Lepisosteus oculatus: one gene and its partner. The protein of the gene in region 1 interacts with the protein of each later gene in a biochemical or structural test. Links are inferred from orthologs where the notes say so. Each region holds a gene or a part of one and is shown in the gene's direction. Other genes may lie near its edges.

Region 1 (7,642 bases):
AATTAGCCCATGAACGTTTTTTTTTAAATAAAAAAACAACGTAAGATTGTCAAGCTCATACAGATCATACGGGAAAGAAGGTGGAGGTGATTCTAAATCGCAAGCGGTGTTGAAGCTATCAGGCGTTCTTTAGTAATAAACGAGGCAATTAATTTCAGCAGAAAAGAGGGGCTCACAATCAGTGTACAAACTCCTCCTTTTTCATCCGTCGTTTCTGCACAGTTACTCCTTGCATATTCAAAGATGGGTCGTTTTAAGCACCGGAGGAGAGTGAGAGGTCCGCACTGAATCCCATTCAGGGTTTGCTTTTAATTATTTAAAAAGGCCAATAATGCGCTGAGGCAGTTCGAGTCGTTAAAATGATGTCTAGACGCTTGTGCGTCAACAGAGCAAGAAGACAGCATGAAACTTTGTTCAACTATTTCGTTTTTGATCTCAGCAACATACAGTTGTCTTATGAGTAACGTTTTGAGTTACTCTTATGGGGCTAACTGCGCACAACCCTTGAGCTGCTCTTCTTATTAAAAGGCATACATTTTGAAAACAATGCTAAGCTGAATACCTAATGCATAACCTTTAAATGCAACATATGATGGGGAATGGGAGCGTCTCGACTTCATCTCTCAATTCATGCTGTATCGACTGCAAAATTGTAATGAAAAATGAGACATGAACGCATTTCGCAAACGTTCAGCGGTGTTCTTTTAAAGAAACGTTAAGAGATTAAATTGGGCTAAATTGCCTGAAAAACGAGCTAATTAGGTAAATAATGGGCGGTTTTGCAAAAGATATTTTAGTGCAACTGATCACAAAGCACACACGTTCCTGTTGGCTGGAAGACTGGGTGGTTTTAGTACATCTTGTTTGAAAGCGCAGTTACAAATTCCTTCCATCATTGGTACTCCAGCTGTCTTCTTCAGAATGTGTCGAGAAACATTTAATATCGCAATGCTTCTCCATTGTTCGGTGTTAAAGCTCCGAGTTGTGGACATTGTTTTAAATAACTGAAAGTCGCCTAAGCTAAGGCTTAGCAAGGTAAGTGAAAACGCTGTCCGTAGCATAGCAAAAAAAGCATTATTACCAGTTTACGACTATGAAACGGTTTTTGACATAAGCCTGCATAATACGTGCCATGTTAGGAAACTGTAAAGCCTATATAGCCTGTGTCCTGCTTACTAGGATGAAGTTTAGTTACGACGTTCACCTTCTGTATCTTGCTTTTCTATTAGTTTGGTATCTGTTGCTCTTACACTGTAAACATTCTCTTCACGGACCACTGCTGACTTGAGGGATGCAAATATCCTGTCGTTGTTTCGCTTGCGCTCTTAAAATGTAGCAGAGAAAACTGCCGTCATCGCATTAAATTCAGCGATACTTGTGTCTAAATCGAGCCGGATCTCTGATACCTACAAAAGCAGGTTAGCCGTGTCTTTCGGTCAGAGTTTATCCGTCAAAAAGAATAAATACGGGGGAAATGTAAGGCGTCCGGATTTACAAGTTCTAAAGAGAACCTTAAATCCACACTATCTACAGACGGTTCACCATTAATTGTTGACAACAATTAAGCCATCAAGTCACACAATTAAGTCATCAACGAGGTAAGAGTTACAAAGGAAAGAAGGCCATTTGATTAATGTTTTTGTTTTGTTGGTGGTAGATAATTGCTCCCAGAATCTTATCCAGTGGCATACCAGTCTCGGAGGGGGTTTTCCAGTGCACAGTAGTGCAAAGTGATTTCCTTCTTCTATCTAGAACATTTGCTAACATCCTGTCCTGTATTACCTGTGAGTATCTAGATTCATAAATAGAGGGTTGTGGTGTTCAAATCCCAGGCGTGATACTTCTGTTGTACCCTCGAACAAAGTACTGGAATTGCTCCGGTGAACTACTCTGCTGCTTAAATGAGTGCAAACATAAGTCGTTTTGAATCAACGTGTCAGCCAAATAAATTGGCAATTAAACGGGTATCTGTAACAAGTCTGCAGACTGTCCTGGAGTGAGATGAAGGGCACTGACTCCTTTGAAGAGCCCAAGTCCTAGGTGGAGCTTTCAGTCAGTGAGTACCGCTTACCTGTGCACAGGTGCCCCACCTCGGTCATTCAGACTCAGAACTGCGCTGTGATGTCCAGGACCAGGGTGTCTAGTTCAGGAGTGACCAGTCCTGGACCTGGAGGACTCCAGAGCAACAGGTTAGAAGTTATCCAGAAATGATTCTTTCCCTCAGTTTATTGGTGGGGGGGGTAATTTCGAGATCTGTTGGGATTAAAACCAATTAACCTCTCCAGAAACATTTGTCCTCCAGAACAAATGCTGCTACAAACGGAAGTCTGAGGATACAGCTCATTTTGCTTCTTGAGTTACTGGGAAGCGGGAGGCTTGGAGATCTCTTCCAGGGTTTTCTTAAAAGATCCCGGGGAATCTTTTGAAAATTTGTCCCGTTGGACTGCAGACACCCACGCTCCTTTCGTTACAGAGATGCTGCCCGACTTTGACCCAGATGCAGAATGTTTTCCATTTTCTCTTGTAACTCTGGCACCTGCGTGCCAACTTGTGTGCTGTTTCCATGTTGCTCACCATTTTAAACTCACGCAAAGCCTCCGTTGTTCAACCCTGAAGAGATTTAGCTCCTTGTCTTATGAGACCGTGCTCAGCGTCAGAATTAACCTTGTGACTCTTCTTTGAACGGAATCCAGAGCAGGAGTGTTTTTTTTTGGGAACCTGGTGACCACATTTGTGCATCTTATTCGACGCAAGTAAGTCATAGACGTTATATACAAGTGTATTGTATATCATATATCTTATCACTTTTAATAACTGCTTCTCCAATTCAGGGTTGTGGGGGTGATGGAGCCTATTCTGCAAGCAGCAGGCACAAGCCAGGATACACCCTGGACAGGACACCAGTCCATCTCACGGCACGCACGCTCACACCAGGGACAATTTTCCCAGAAGCCAGTTACCCTGCCAGTATGTCTTTGGACTGTGGGAAGACACCGGAGCACCCAGAGGAAACCCATGCTATCACAGGGGGGAACATGCAAACTCCACACAGACAGTACCCCAGGAAATGAACCCAGGGCTGCAAGGCAGTGGTGCTCATGACTGTGCCACCATGCCACCCTTATATCTGATCTTAATTTTCCATTCAGAAATCTACAATCCCCCCAAACCATTTGTTAGTGATGCTGCTTTTGCTGCATTTGATGTTGTATCAGGTAGGTTTCTCACTTTTCTGCTATGCTTTTCTCAGTATCGTAGTGAATTGTGGAGATGGCAAAGTTCCTGGACTTGGAAGTGTGAAGTGTTCTACTAAATTTAGACTACACTATCCTGAACTATTAGAAATGGGTCTTGCAGACTGGACTGTGGCGTTACTTTAGTACTGGTGTTATTTGTGGTGTCTCCTTAAACTTTCTCCTCAGCCCAGCAGGAGGAGAATTTTCTCACTGCGTCACCTATTCTGCTAGTGCTGATCTCTCAGGTGAGTCTGCTCTCCAGTGGTGGACAAAATGGGTCCCCTCCTATACATTGAGAGAGAAGAGTTTATTTGCGAGATGCACATGTAAATTCTCACAGTTCTCCTGTGACATGCACAGTACAATAGACAAAACCCCACAATCTGCACAGTCCATTACAAAAAAATAATAATGACAGCCACAACTGACTAACATACACAACAACATACTCAACGGTTTTTGCTATCTGATGTATTAATGAGATTTATGCAACTGATGCAATGTTGAGTAGTAAAATCGGTTTGTTGCAGTATCATGGACATGGGGAATGACCTCCAAGATATCAGACTCCAGCCGTGTAGTGGTTGATCAATTTCAGGTGTTGCTGTTGTGCTGATGCAGCTGAAAAGCAGTCTTAATTAAACCAATTTAACTTGTCTTTGCGTAGGGATACAGTGTTTTTACAGTATTTGCAATAGCCTGCACCTTCAAAGATTAAAATAGGCACAAACTGTTGCAACGGCGAGCCGTTTTCTGTTTGGGAGCATTTGCTATTTTTTTTGTGGGGGAAAAACACAACTATAATTAAACGATACGATGTGCTACGCGAATGTATCATCTTTACAGCGTAATACGCACATTGGTAGACTTTTCACAAATATGACTATAAAGACGTTGCGTGTATCATCCGACAAGGTTATTGAAAAGTGAGTTTATTTTTGTCGGTTTGCTAGAGACCATTTGGATTAGCATGGGAAAATAAATTTTTTTGGACATATAATAATAATTGCTTACACTTATATAGCGCTTTTCTGGACACTCCACTCAAAGCGCTTTACAGGTAATGGGGACTCCCCTCCACCACCATCAATGTGCAGAAAATTAACAGAGTGATCTGAGCATTTACTGGAAATGCTCAGATCACATACTTTGGCCGCTTGATCAGAGTCTGTACAACGCATTCCTAGAAACAATTCAATGAGAACACCCCCTTTCGAAGCGTTTCACACACGCTACACGTCCGTAACACCCGTCTAAACAACCCTTTTCAATTCGAGACATTCGGGTATTTCCGCCCCTAGAGGCATCTTCGTCAGTTTCCGTGTGACGCACGGCAGAGCCGTGCGTAGGGCGTGATTGCGCGGCCCCTCCCCCTCGCGGTCTATCTGGAAAAAAAACTTTTTGTATCGAAGGAATCAACAGCCGCCATCTTGTCGCGGCTCGGAGTCAGGATTTCGGGAGAGCATTATTTTTTATTGAGAACCGGAACATCCGAACCGAGGCCAAACGGGTTTCTTCTGCCGAAAACGAAAAGCTTAGACGCCTTCGAAGACATTTCGTGAGAAAAAACGGAGATTGGGTCGGTTTTCATCGGCCAGAAAACCCCCCATATATCTGATTTCCCCTTCAGAAAGCGCCGCTTCGCTCCGTATCTTGGTTCGCAGCCGTATTGTTTACCGGGAGCAGCCGGCGGACAGACAGCGGGGAAGGGGCGAAATAGCGCCGTGAAATATTTTTTTTTTGCACCGGCGCATTTTTTTCGCCGGCAGAAGGGGGTTTTTAGGCAATTAAATTGACGTCAGAAAAAAGGGGGTATTTAAAGATGCGAATTTAGCGCACTCCGCAGGCACGAAAACGACCAAAAAATCCATCGGGGAGATCGTATTTAATTTTTTGTGCCCTTTGTTCCTTCGAAAAAAATATTTTTCATCGGAGGTAATTATTATTGATAATAATGTGGGTGTTGGGTGTTGGATTATCATGGGGTGAATGGTTTTGGCGAAGCGGGGCGCTGTAGCTACTTTTTTGAGAATTTCGCCTTGATTATTTCGCTCCTGCAAACGGAGAGTAGAGAGGAGGCGAGCGTGGAGGGGTTGCTCTCTTTTTGGTTTTGATTTTTTTCTCGGGGGGTGGGGATTATTATTATTATTTTTTGGGGGGCCACCGATCCCTCCCCCCCCCCTATTTAGAAAAAAAAATAACCCAATCACATCTAACGATCCGAGTCGATCGCCATGGCCGAGAACCTGCTTGACGTCGGACCTCCCAACCCGAAGCGGCCGAAGCTGAATTCACCTGCCCTGTCCGCCTCCGACGGTCCAGGTAAGGCCCGACTGCCCCCCGGCTCCCCGGCGTGACAGTGTCACCGCCGGCGTGTGCGACACGGCTCCGTGCGCACCTTTGCATCGCAATACTTTCCTTCTGGAGTGTGTGCGTGTGCGTATCGCCTTTGGGTGGTGGTGCTGGTGTCTCTTCTGAACTGGGGCTCGATCGGGAGCACCCCGGCTGTGCCTCTTGCTGGGCGCTGCGCGCAATCGGCTCCCCGCTCTTGTGGTGCCAAGGCTGGGCGGCAGAGGCGTGGAAACGGGGAAGGTGTGCGTTTTGCCCGTGTGCTGGGTCTCCGCCGTGTGCATGGCCCGGCTGCAGGGGACAGTGTTTGGTGGGTGGTGGCGGTGTGCCTTTCGGCGTTATGAGATTTTTTTCCCCTATGCCAAAAAATGAGCATGCCCCCCCCCACCACCACCACCACCACCTACACCGTCTCCTCTACCGACCCTCTGATGCCCCGCTTCGTGTCGGTTGGTGGTCGGCTGCAAAACAGACTCTTTGACGTCGCGATTTGAGGTGCCGATGTCAGATGCGTTTTTTGTTTGTTTGTTGTGCGGTTGAATGTGGTGGTCGTAGCCAGGTTTTGATCGAGAAAAGTCCCCGTGGTGGTGGCGTTTGTTGTCGACTCTGCACGGCAGCGAGATGTGGTGCCGTGCGTCAAAATTCATACTCCCCCCCACCCCCCTACAAAAAATATTGAAGTGACCGCGGGGACTCGCTGGACAGCTCCCTGTCCTTTCATGTTGGGCAAGATCGTGGCCTTTCGTAGGAGACCTGGGTGCAGCCGTGCCGTTGACAGCGGACCACCTGGGCAGCGCCAGCAGCCTGCGCTTCACAAGCCGAGGATGGACATGCAAGAGCATGACAAGAGCGACGTCTTGTATTGCTCTTCCCCCTCTCGGTATCCGAAACGATCCACCCCCCTGCCCCGGTGCCGAAGCGGCGGCCGGGCCCCCTGGCGCTGGGTCCCGGGTCCTGGCCGGAGCCGGAGTTTGTTGCCCGGGAGGCGGTGTTTCATTGCAAGGCGAAGCGGCTATGACACCGGCAGGGAGAAGCGTGCATCGGGTGTAGCGCTGGAGGGGAGGGCTTGCGCCTGTCAGTCAGCGGCTGAGCCACTGATCGATCTGATTGACACGGCTGGTTTGAGAAACGGTGGTGGTGGACGGGACTCCGGGCTGGGTCGCACCCGGTTGGTTGGTCGGTCGTCGGAGTCTGTCCCGCGTGTGGTTTGTGGATCCTCCACCCTGCCCGTCCCTCCACCCCTCCTCCCGATCTGATCGCCAAAACACTGTTTAATTCGGGGATCCCCTCAGTTCTGCTTTCTGAAAACGAAACGGTTTGGTCTGTGTCCTGTAAGCCGAGGGGGGCGTGACGCCGTGCGCTCTTGGCCGGAGACAGGAGCTCCGCTGGCGCTCCTGGCGTGCCCCTGCAGGCTGTGTGGAGGGAGATCTCTCGGCCTGGGAGGGTGGAAACTCTCGTATGTTAGCTTTCCACAAGTGTGCAGACCCTCGCTGTGCTGTCGGACAACCGGTGCGCCATCCCAACCGGTCACGACGGGCAACAGTGCCGGGGAAAGTCACGCCGGTACGGTGCTGGCATCTCGATTGCGCGTAAGCTGACGTGGGCGTGGAGGCAGGAGAGCGCTGTAATTTGAAAGCTGCTGTGATTGGTCGGATCGGAATCATTAAAAGTGAACTTTAACAGCTTGTGCTTGGACTATAGCCGTCCATTGTCTACCTAATTAAGGGGGCATTTGACGGATTTAAAGCCCAGCGCCTGCTGTCAGTCTGGGTTTAGGAGAGCGACACTTGCACGTTTTTCCACGGCTTAAGGTCTGATTCAGTTATATTCATTGAGCGGTCATGCCAGAAGAGTGAACTAAGTTCCCATTTGCGTTAATTGTGTTTTCTATCCAGCAAAGAGAGGCTTTTCTGGGTTTTAAACATTACCTTGTGCCAGCAAGTGCGTTGTTAAAACGTGTATTGGTCTATTTAAAATACACTTTCACTGTATCTGGACCCTTTTCAACTTTAGAATAACAGAAATATCCCTACCCTCCGTTTTACTGTTCCACCAAG
Region 2 (8,074 bases), on another chromosome or scaffold:
AAGTGCAGATCAAAGAGACAAATTTCATTTTTGTTTCGTATTAATAGTCAGACAAAAAAACTGGGAGATTTCGACACACAGAGTGAGACAGCAGCACTAGGACAGGACTGTTTTACTTAAACGAACACTCATTCAAATTCACGGATGAAGTTTTTTTACTTTTAGATTGTTAGCTTATGTATTACACAATCAGTAATGTCACGCACTTATTGAAGCCTTCTTAATATTCCGTGCTAATTGCCTTAGAAGCAAGAAATTTTCACAAGGACGAAAATGAACAATGCGGCGTACTGTGTCACTTTGCAGAAACATTAGGGTTCACAAACTCCCAGCATATTATTTAGATAAACTCGTGCGTGCTTCTGTGTTTTATTCGTATTAATAGTCCTGCTCATACACAAACACACGCAATTTGCGAGAATATTCCCTGTTATCTCATAGTTGTATGTACACTGGCACCCCTATGAATAATTTCGCTTCAAGTCGCTTCTGCTTTGTTGTGCCCATTCAGCACTATTATACTGAATACGAATCTCATCCTAATTATCGCCATATGTCTTTTCAAATTTAGAGGAAAAAACTGTAAAATGCTGACAACAAATAAACTGAACTCCCTCGTCAAATCCCGGATACTGGGTTTGCTTTGATTTGAAATGAAATCTGCGATATGTGCAAGTTTGAAATGTAGCTTTTCTCTGTTATGAATGAATCACCGTACTAAATAAAACGAGCATTATTCTCGTTAATAGGGGCTTAGGCAAAACTCAATTTTTACGGCCTCTTAAGGCGGAATATTAGCCAATCCATATTGGAAAAGTATTCGACCACGGGTCCTGTGTGCGAGCACCTGGGAACAATGTTAGTTAAAATATCGGGTTTTCTATAACAAAACACATAGCAATGATGCTTCGTATTGAAAACACAATAAAATGACAATTAAATACTTGAGGATTTCTGCATCAGTGGGGTAGCTCCAAGTGAAACCTTTATTTTATAGCGCTAGTCGTGGAACCTCATAAAATCTTAACAGCCTTTTCTATCCCCTCCTTCTCCGTCTACACCGTACACTCTACAGGCAACCTTGGCGTTTTATTACATTTTATAGTTTGTTAAACCGTTTACAGCCGCTTTGTCTATTACACAAGCAGCACTTTCCCTTTCCGAGGCCTTTAAATCTTTATCAATAACATATTTATAAAAATATGATCATTAAAATGTTAAATATTACTACCCCCGTCTGCCTCGCCTGTGCCGCAGCCGCCGGAGTTCGGCGCTTTTGACAAGTTGTTCTAGAACGCCAATTACGTTTATAGGACCCGTTAAAACTGATAGTAATTAAGTCGTGTACTTTCACAATTTGCCAATGCGACCCTGACATTTAGGGAGAGAAAAAAAAGAGAGCGAGGCGAATCCACCTCGTTAGAATTTCAAAATTAACGACGGAGTGCGTCTCTTTTCAGTTTGACTATCAGCGACTCCTTTAAAATCAGTCTTTTTTTTCGGGGGGTGGGAAGGGGGAGACGGCGCGTGCTCCAGATCTGATGCAAAGCGGCAGATATCTCATTAACTAAGCCGGTTGAATATATTAATGTGCAAATTCTCCCCTCCTCTCTCTCCCTCTCTCTCACACCCCCCCCAAGCCCTCCCTCTCTTCCCTCTCTTCCCCTCGCTGTCTCCGTCTCTCCCTCTCTCCACAACACAATCGCGCAGTGCAGTGTCCGTGTGGAAACGCCGAAGCCAATGGGATGAAGATCCGATAATAGATGCAAATTATCCTGAAAAGACACTGCAAAATATGAAACAACTCATTTGCGGCTGAGTAAATCACGGAAAACTGTTTATGAACTGGCAACCCTTACTGGAATTGTAATGCGGTAGAGCCGAGTGGTGGCGATTTTATGGAAGTCGACAATGATAGTGGCTTGAAAATTTAAAAGGAGTTCTTAAAAAAAAGGCATTCTTGGGATTCCCTGAGTGTTGGCGCCGCAATCCCGAGAAACGCTGATTTATTTATTTATTTTTTGGGGGGTTATATGAGAAACTCCGGCTCCTAAACAACAACAACAACAACAACAACAAAAGACACAGCAACAGCGGCCAACAACGTACAAAAAAACATGAGCTCTTATTTTGTCAACTCTCTTTTCTCCAAATATAAAAGCGGCGATTCCTTACGTCCTAATTATTACGAGTGTGGTTTCACGCAGGAACTGGGGAACAGACCCACTGTAGTCTATGGACCCGGTACCGGTGGAACTTTCCAACATCCAACTCAGATTCAGGAGTTTTATCACCACGGCGCGTCCACGCTCTCCGCCACCCCTTACCAGCAGAGCCCGTGTGCCGTGACCTGTCACGGGGAGCCGGGGAACTTCTATGGCTACGACGCTTTGCAAAGGCAGACGCTCTTCGGGAGCCAGGAGGCTGACCTCGTGCAGTACAGCGACTGCAAGCTGGCGGCGAGCAGCATCGCGGACGACACGGAGAGCGCCGAGCAGAGCCCGTCTCCCACGCAACTCTTCCCCTGGATGAGACCTCAAGGTGAGACCGGAACAGGACTGGAGAGGCGGCGGCGCGGGTCGCAGGGAAGGGTAGCGTAACTATAAAGAGAGGGAGGGAGGTAGAGAGAGAGAGAAATTCTCAGCGACCATAAAGCTGGTATTTCCTGTGAGTGGGAATAGAGACAATAGCATGTTGTTTTCTTTACCGTTTTATGGTGTCCAAACTTGTGAATCACTTTATAGTTTAATGGCCCTAGCAGAAAGGGGCACTGTCTCCCCTCGGCTTCCTTCTCTCTCCATGTGGGGGATCACTAGCCTGCATCTGTGTCTGTTTGTATTGACAAAGTTTCTTCCTCTGATATGCCCTATCAGAGTGCAGAGTGTGTATTCCAGTTACTGTGTGTGTAACGTGATGTACGAACATATGCTATATATATAACTATACACACGCGTTTTTGTATGTGGATTGTGCACTTGTGCAAGAGGTACGCTTGAGGTTCATCACAACTGGACCAGGAAAAGCGAATAAAATATTAGTGTGGCCGGACTGGTGGTCTCGTTGAAAGGCTGCCTCCAGGAAGGTGGTTTTCACAATGTGCCTGAATTCTGATGCTCGTCTTTTCTAAAACGTGTCGCCCGCTTCTCTTCCCAGTAGCTGCCGGACGGAGGCGAGGCCGGCAGACCTACAGCCGCTACCAGACGCTGGAGCTGGAGAAGGAGTTCCTCTTCAACCCGTACCTGACCCGCAAGCGGCGGATCGAGGTGTCGCACGCCCTGGGACTGACCGAGCGCCAGGTCAAGATCTGGTTTCAGAACCGGCGGATGAAGTGGAAAAAGGAGAACAACAAGGACAAATTCCCCAGCAGCAAATCGGAGCAGGAGGAAATAGAGAAACAGAAGAAGGAGAAGGAGAAAGCGGAGGGGGAGCAGACGGCCGAGGAAGACGGGGAGAAAGAGAAACAGATTTAGGCGAGCCCCAGAAATGGACGAGCGGAGGAAGACAGCTAAAGGCCACCGACTGAGGCGATACAGCGCGCCGCTTTCTCAGAGCAACACTGTAACCTTCTCGCGTTCCTTGTATAAAATGCTGTGGAATATATATATATAGGGAAACAAGAACTGGCGGAGGCGTTATTGTATCAAGTGTAAGATTCGTTTGATGAAGCGAAAACTGTTATCCCACGGAAAGAAATATTTCTACTTTTTACCAGATGTCGGAAAAAATATCGTAGTGTAACGAGAAACAAAATAGCTTTCTTATTTGTGGAAGACTTAAATGTGAAACCTTTTTATTGTTAGGATATCATCATTAACAATTACATTTGGCAGCTGTATAGTTTTTTTTTTATTATGTTATATGGTGCACTTTTTATCGTTCTCATTCATGGTATTCTAATAACGTAGCAAATAATGAATTCCCAACAACATGAAACTGCCTATTTATGCTGTAGGTTATTCTGTTTTTTTTATGTTCTGTCCTTCGATTAGTCTGTTTTAATTAATAATATTTTGTTGTTCTTGTTTGGTTTTTTTTTCAAGTTTGGGACTAAGCATGCGCACAGTGCATAATAGTAATTGAACAGACTGTAAGGTGATCTTTCGTTAACTGTGAACCAGAATGTATACTGTACTCGTGAATTAGTTTATGGAGGCCTGGTGACTCGCTTGATTGTTCTTCACTGCTCTGTTCTATTGTCAAAGCCTGGAGGCTGCGGAAGAGAAGGACACAATAAAGTTTACAAGCGAAATCCCGTGACGGCACAGCTGTCCTCCTGCTTCCTCTCTGTCGAGGTGATCCTCTGGTCGGGCCCCTGTCTTTCCACAGACACCCCACATAGCCCCGTCCCCACAGTTCCCCCACAAGACGAGAGGCAAACGGGGGCGCAAAAGCCTTCGTCTTCTATTCCCGGCCTGAGAAAAGCCCCCCACCCCTCGCTGACAGTAGAATAAGATGATCCAGACCTAAGCTCACTCCAATATGAGAGCAAATTTATTTGCGATTTAAGTTGCCTTTTTTAAAAAAAATCAATTTTAAGTAAAACAAAACCCCAACACGATATACGACTAGGTACCGATAGTTACTCGCGTCCGACTTTGTATTGGGCGACTGTGGCGGACGGAGCACTAAAATCTGAATGATTTGGTAAACCAGACCTGTGAAACCTTTTATTATGGTTGTGGCAGCAGTCGGGTAAAGACACCTCACAATCACAAAGAAAAGGAACAGGCGTTAATACCGGGATACTCGTGTATCAATGGCCCATAGGCCTATTAACGCATCACAGGCGGTGATATCATTACAGTTATTATGCACTCCGAGCTGTATTCGCGTTCAGCTGTACCCATAAGTTCTTCTAATGGAACATCTTCGGAACGGAATCACGTGTTCATTTAAAACTCTTTTATTGGGGGCCGGGGGGGTCTTTGGTGGAGGAGGGGGGGGGGGGGGGTTTGTGCGTCAAACGTTCCTGGAGGTGGAAAAAAAAATCCGAGTTTCATCCTCATTGCTGGAAACCACGAGCTTTTGTGCGGCCGGTGTAAATGGATGCTCTGAGGCAGAAACTCTGCAACAGAGTCTAACTCATTAGCTGGAGCCCCGGACGAGCCGACAGACACACCGGCAGCCGGGAGAGAAGCGCTCGCCCAGATAGCAGGGACAGAGCGCCGTGTGTGGGGAGAGAGAGGGAGAGGGGGGGTATATTCGCAGGACGATGTTTCGAGGAGAAAATCGATGCTGCAATAAATAGGTTTCTCTTTATGTATGTGATGCCTCGCAAATGGTGGAGTACGTTCTTAAATCTGATTTTTCTTCCTCTCTGCACCTCCACCGACCCCAGCACACTCCAATCTCGCTCCCCGGGACAGAACGGATTACGGTCCAGGCTGTAGTTTATCGATTTGTGTTTGCGAGCTCTTGCCTCTTGCACACGCGGATCTTTAGGTTACATAACGTAAATTATTTAACATTTTCTAATCTGAGCCGTACTTCAGATTTTCCACAGCGCCGAAGATCTGGGAAGCCCCCTTTCCATTGGACCACCGCGAGTCACGTGCCCCCTGTCACGTGAACCCTGAGGAAAAAGGGGTGCTTTTTGGTGTAAATCTGGACTTTAATTCCGTAATATATCACGGTACCTCGTAAAACCGACACTAAAACGTCCCGGCCTACAAATCACCCGGCCAAATTATGAGTTCATTGTATTATGCGAATGCTTTATTCTCCAAATACCAAGCTGCAAGTTCGGTGTTCCCAGCTGGGGTCTTCCCCGAGCAAACTTCTTGCGCTTTTGCGCCCAGTTCTCAGCGAACCGGCGGCTATGTCTCGGGCAACGGTGCCACTAGCTTCCCTTCCTCTATGCCGGGGCTGTACAGCAACGGAGGCAGCGTGCATCCCCCGAACCAGAGCGTGTATTCGGCCGGCTACGGCCTCAACACGGGCTCCTTCAACATGCACTGCTCGCCCTTCGATCAGAACCTGCCCATGGTCTGCGCCGGGGAGCCCTCCAAGCAGGCGTGCGGCGGCAAAGCAGAGCACGGAGACGCTGAGCAGCAGAACGAAGCCAACTTCCGGATCTATCCCTGGATGAGAAGCACAGGTATGTGATTGTTGGTGTCGGAGGGGGGGGGGAAGGCTATTCGTTGCATGGAACTAACAACAATGATGAAGCACTCCTCGCCAAGACAAAGCGACCTTTTAAATTGTGGTTTTAAAAACGCTTTAATTGCGCAGTGTCGAGTCGCCTTTATGACGTTTTGCTAAAGCAGATCTTTTATTGCTATACGACCCCCCCATAAAGCTATAATATTAGTCCTTTGCATATTCATTACAGAGAGTGTTGTGGAGAATGCACCGGATTCCTCAGCCTGACTTCGGCGGGTCTCTGTGCCTGAATTTCGAAACGGAGTAACGACAGATCTGCCTTCTGATGTGGATCTGGTTTTACCGACGCCGTATACTAAGGGTGCCCTCGTCTATTTAAAAAAAAAAAATCTATACGAAAAAAAAAATTCGTATGTTTGCGCTGTTCTTTTTTTCCCCCTCGTTCAAATTGCGGGATCTAGTAAAAGCTTGTAGGGTTATTTTTTTAGCCAGCACAGTTTTGCCTGTAAAAAAAAAAAATGTTTTCTCGTTCGGTGGAGTTATATTGTTTAGAACGGTGAGCGAATCGCGAATGGCTTCTTCTGTTGCTGTTGACAAATGCTCTCCGATTACCGGGGGGTGTGAAGGGTTTGCATGCCCTGTACACAGAAATTCTTTTTGATTTTCCAAGCGTTCGAGTCAAGCCGTAATATGTTCTTCCTCCACGCCTTTGATGTTCGGAGGGCTGCGGCCGCGGCCACCAGAAAGCCGTGGAGAAGTAACACGTATTTTCTTTCATGCTACACGTCAATATCATTAGCTAATCCACTCGGTCTGTGTTGGCCTTTTTTTAAAAAAAATTAACCGATCGGTAGCAAATGCAATAACTGTAGTTCGGAAATGAGATGTTTTTGGTTTTGTATGTTTTTTGTCCATTTGCGTGTTCTGCAATCTCTGAATGCCCCCAGAGCCAGAAAGAACAGCAGCCGCGTGTCCCGGTGTATTTTAAATCTCGTGATTAATTAGGTCTGAAGATCTTCTATGACAGCAATCGGCTTTCACTGCAGTTTTGGCCCCAGCCCGCGGAAAGTTAGCAACAGTACATTGTCAACAAGAGCAACTTCTCTCTCTCGTTAGCCGCCGGGGTGGTGATATAGCAAGACTTAATAGTTTTAAAAGAGATACGTCTTCATTAGCTCGTCTTAGGACATTAATAAACAACTACTCATTGACACACACTTCCAGTGGGGCCCCACAAGTGCCAGTAATGATATTCTATATGAACATAAATACAGACGATTTCTCTTCAGGTGTAAATATCTTCATTTTCCGTATTATTCCTAAGCAATAAAAAGTTTCACGGTTTTTTTTTTTTGCCATTTTGGATCCATCTCCCAGTCAAGAATGTGACCTACAACCCCTCCTTTTGAATCCAGTTGCACCTTCAAGCTTCGGTTAGCAAGTAGGCCCGCTATATGTTAATGAAAATAATTTCCCATCAGTGATGAACTCTTCATAATCGTTTAATCCAGTATACTGTATACATTTTAATGGAAGGGCGGTTCACAAAATGAATGTTCAGTTAGTTTTTTTTAAATTATTGCGTTGCAATTAAATATTAGCAAAAGGTGTGTCGGGGCAGCATTGTTTCCTAGGGGCCTGTAGCTGAACTAGCTCTGCTTCGAATATTTGTAAAAAAAAATAACATCTGACGTCTGTGTGGAGTGTTCAGTTTGAATATATGTACATACTACTTACAGTTTAACATTTCGACATTGATAACAACCCAGGGGTTTTATGAAGCTTTCCTAAGAATAATAGTTCAAAGAAACAGATCTAAGAAACGTCTAGATTTTCATATTTGATTCCAGCTGGTCAGGGGTTTTGTCTCTGTTCCACAATTGAACACTTCTGATACAGTAACTCGTGCTGTTTATGCAAGTTATAGATCAACACGCTGCTGTTGTTAAGAGGCTCGCCTCGGAGACAGCGA

What was found.
Region 2: the proteins of crebbpa (region 1) and hoxb7a form a complex in vitro, tested with the Homo sapiens proteins (2 studies listed by BioGRID). The link is inferred for Lepisosteus oculatus from reciprocal best matches to the Homo sapiens genes CREBBP and HOXB7.

The regions. Positions count from the first base shown.
Region 1 is NC_090714.1:3,324,976-3,332,617, reverse strand, and holds the start of crebbpa (CREB-binding protein), read left to right. Parts: upstream 1-4,635; 5' UTR 4,636-5,470; coding exon 5,471-5,558; intron 5,559-7,642. UniProt on the Homo sapiens protein: Acetylates histones, giving a specific tag for transcriptional activation. Mediates acetylation of histone H3 at 'Lys-18' and 'Lys-27' (H3K18ac and H3K27ac, respectively).
Region 2 is NC_090723.1:9,324,755-9,332,828, reverse strand, and holds the start of hoxb7a (homeobox protein Hox-B7a), read left to right. Parts: upstream 1-5,024; 5' UTR 5,025-5,688; coding exon 5,689-6,097; intron 6,098-8,074. Other genes in the region: hoxb8a (homeobox protein Hox-B8a), read left to right, coding at 2,118-2,541, 3,154-3,470. UniProt on the Homo sapiens protein: Sequence-specific transcription factor which is part of a developmental regulatory system that provides cells with specific positional identities on the anterior-posterior axis.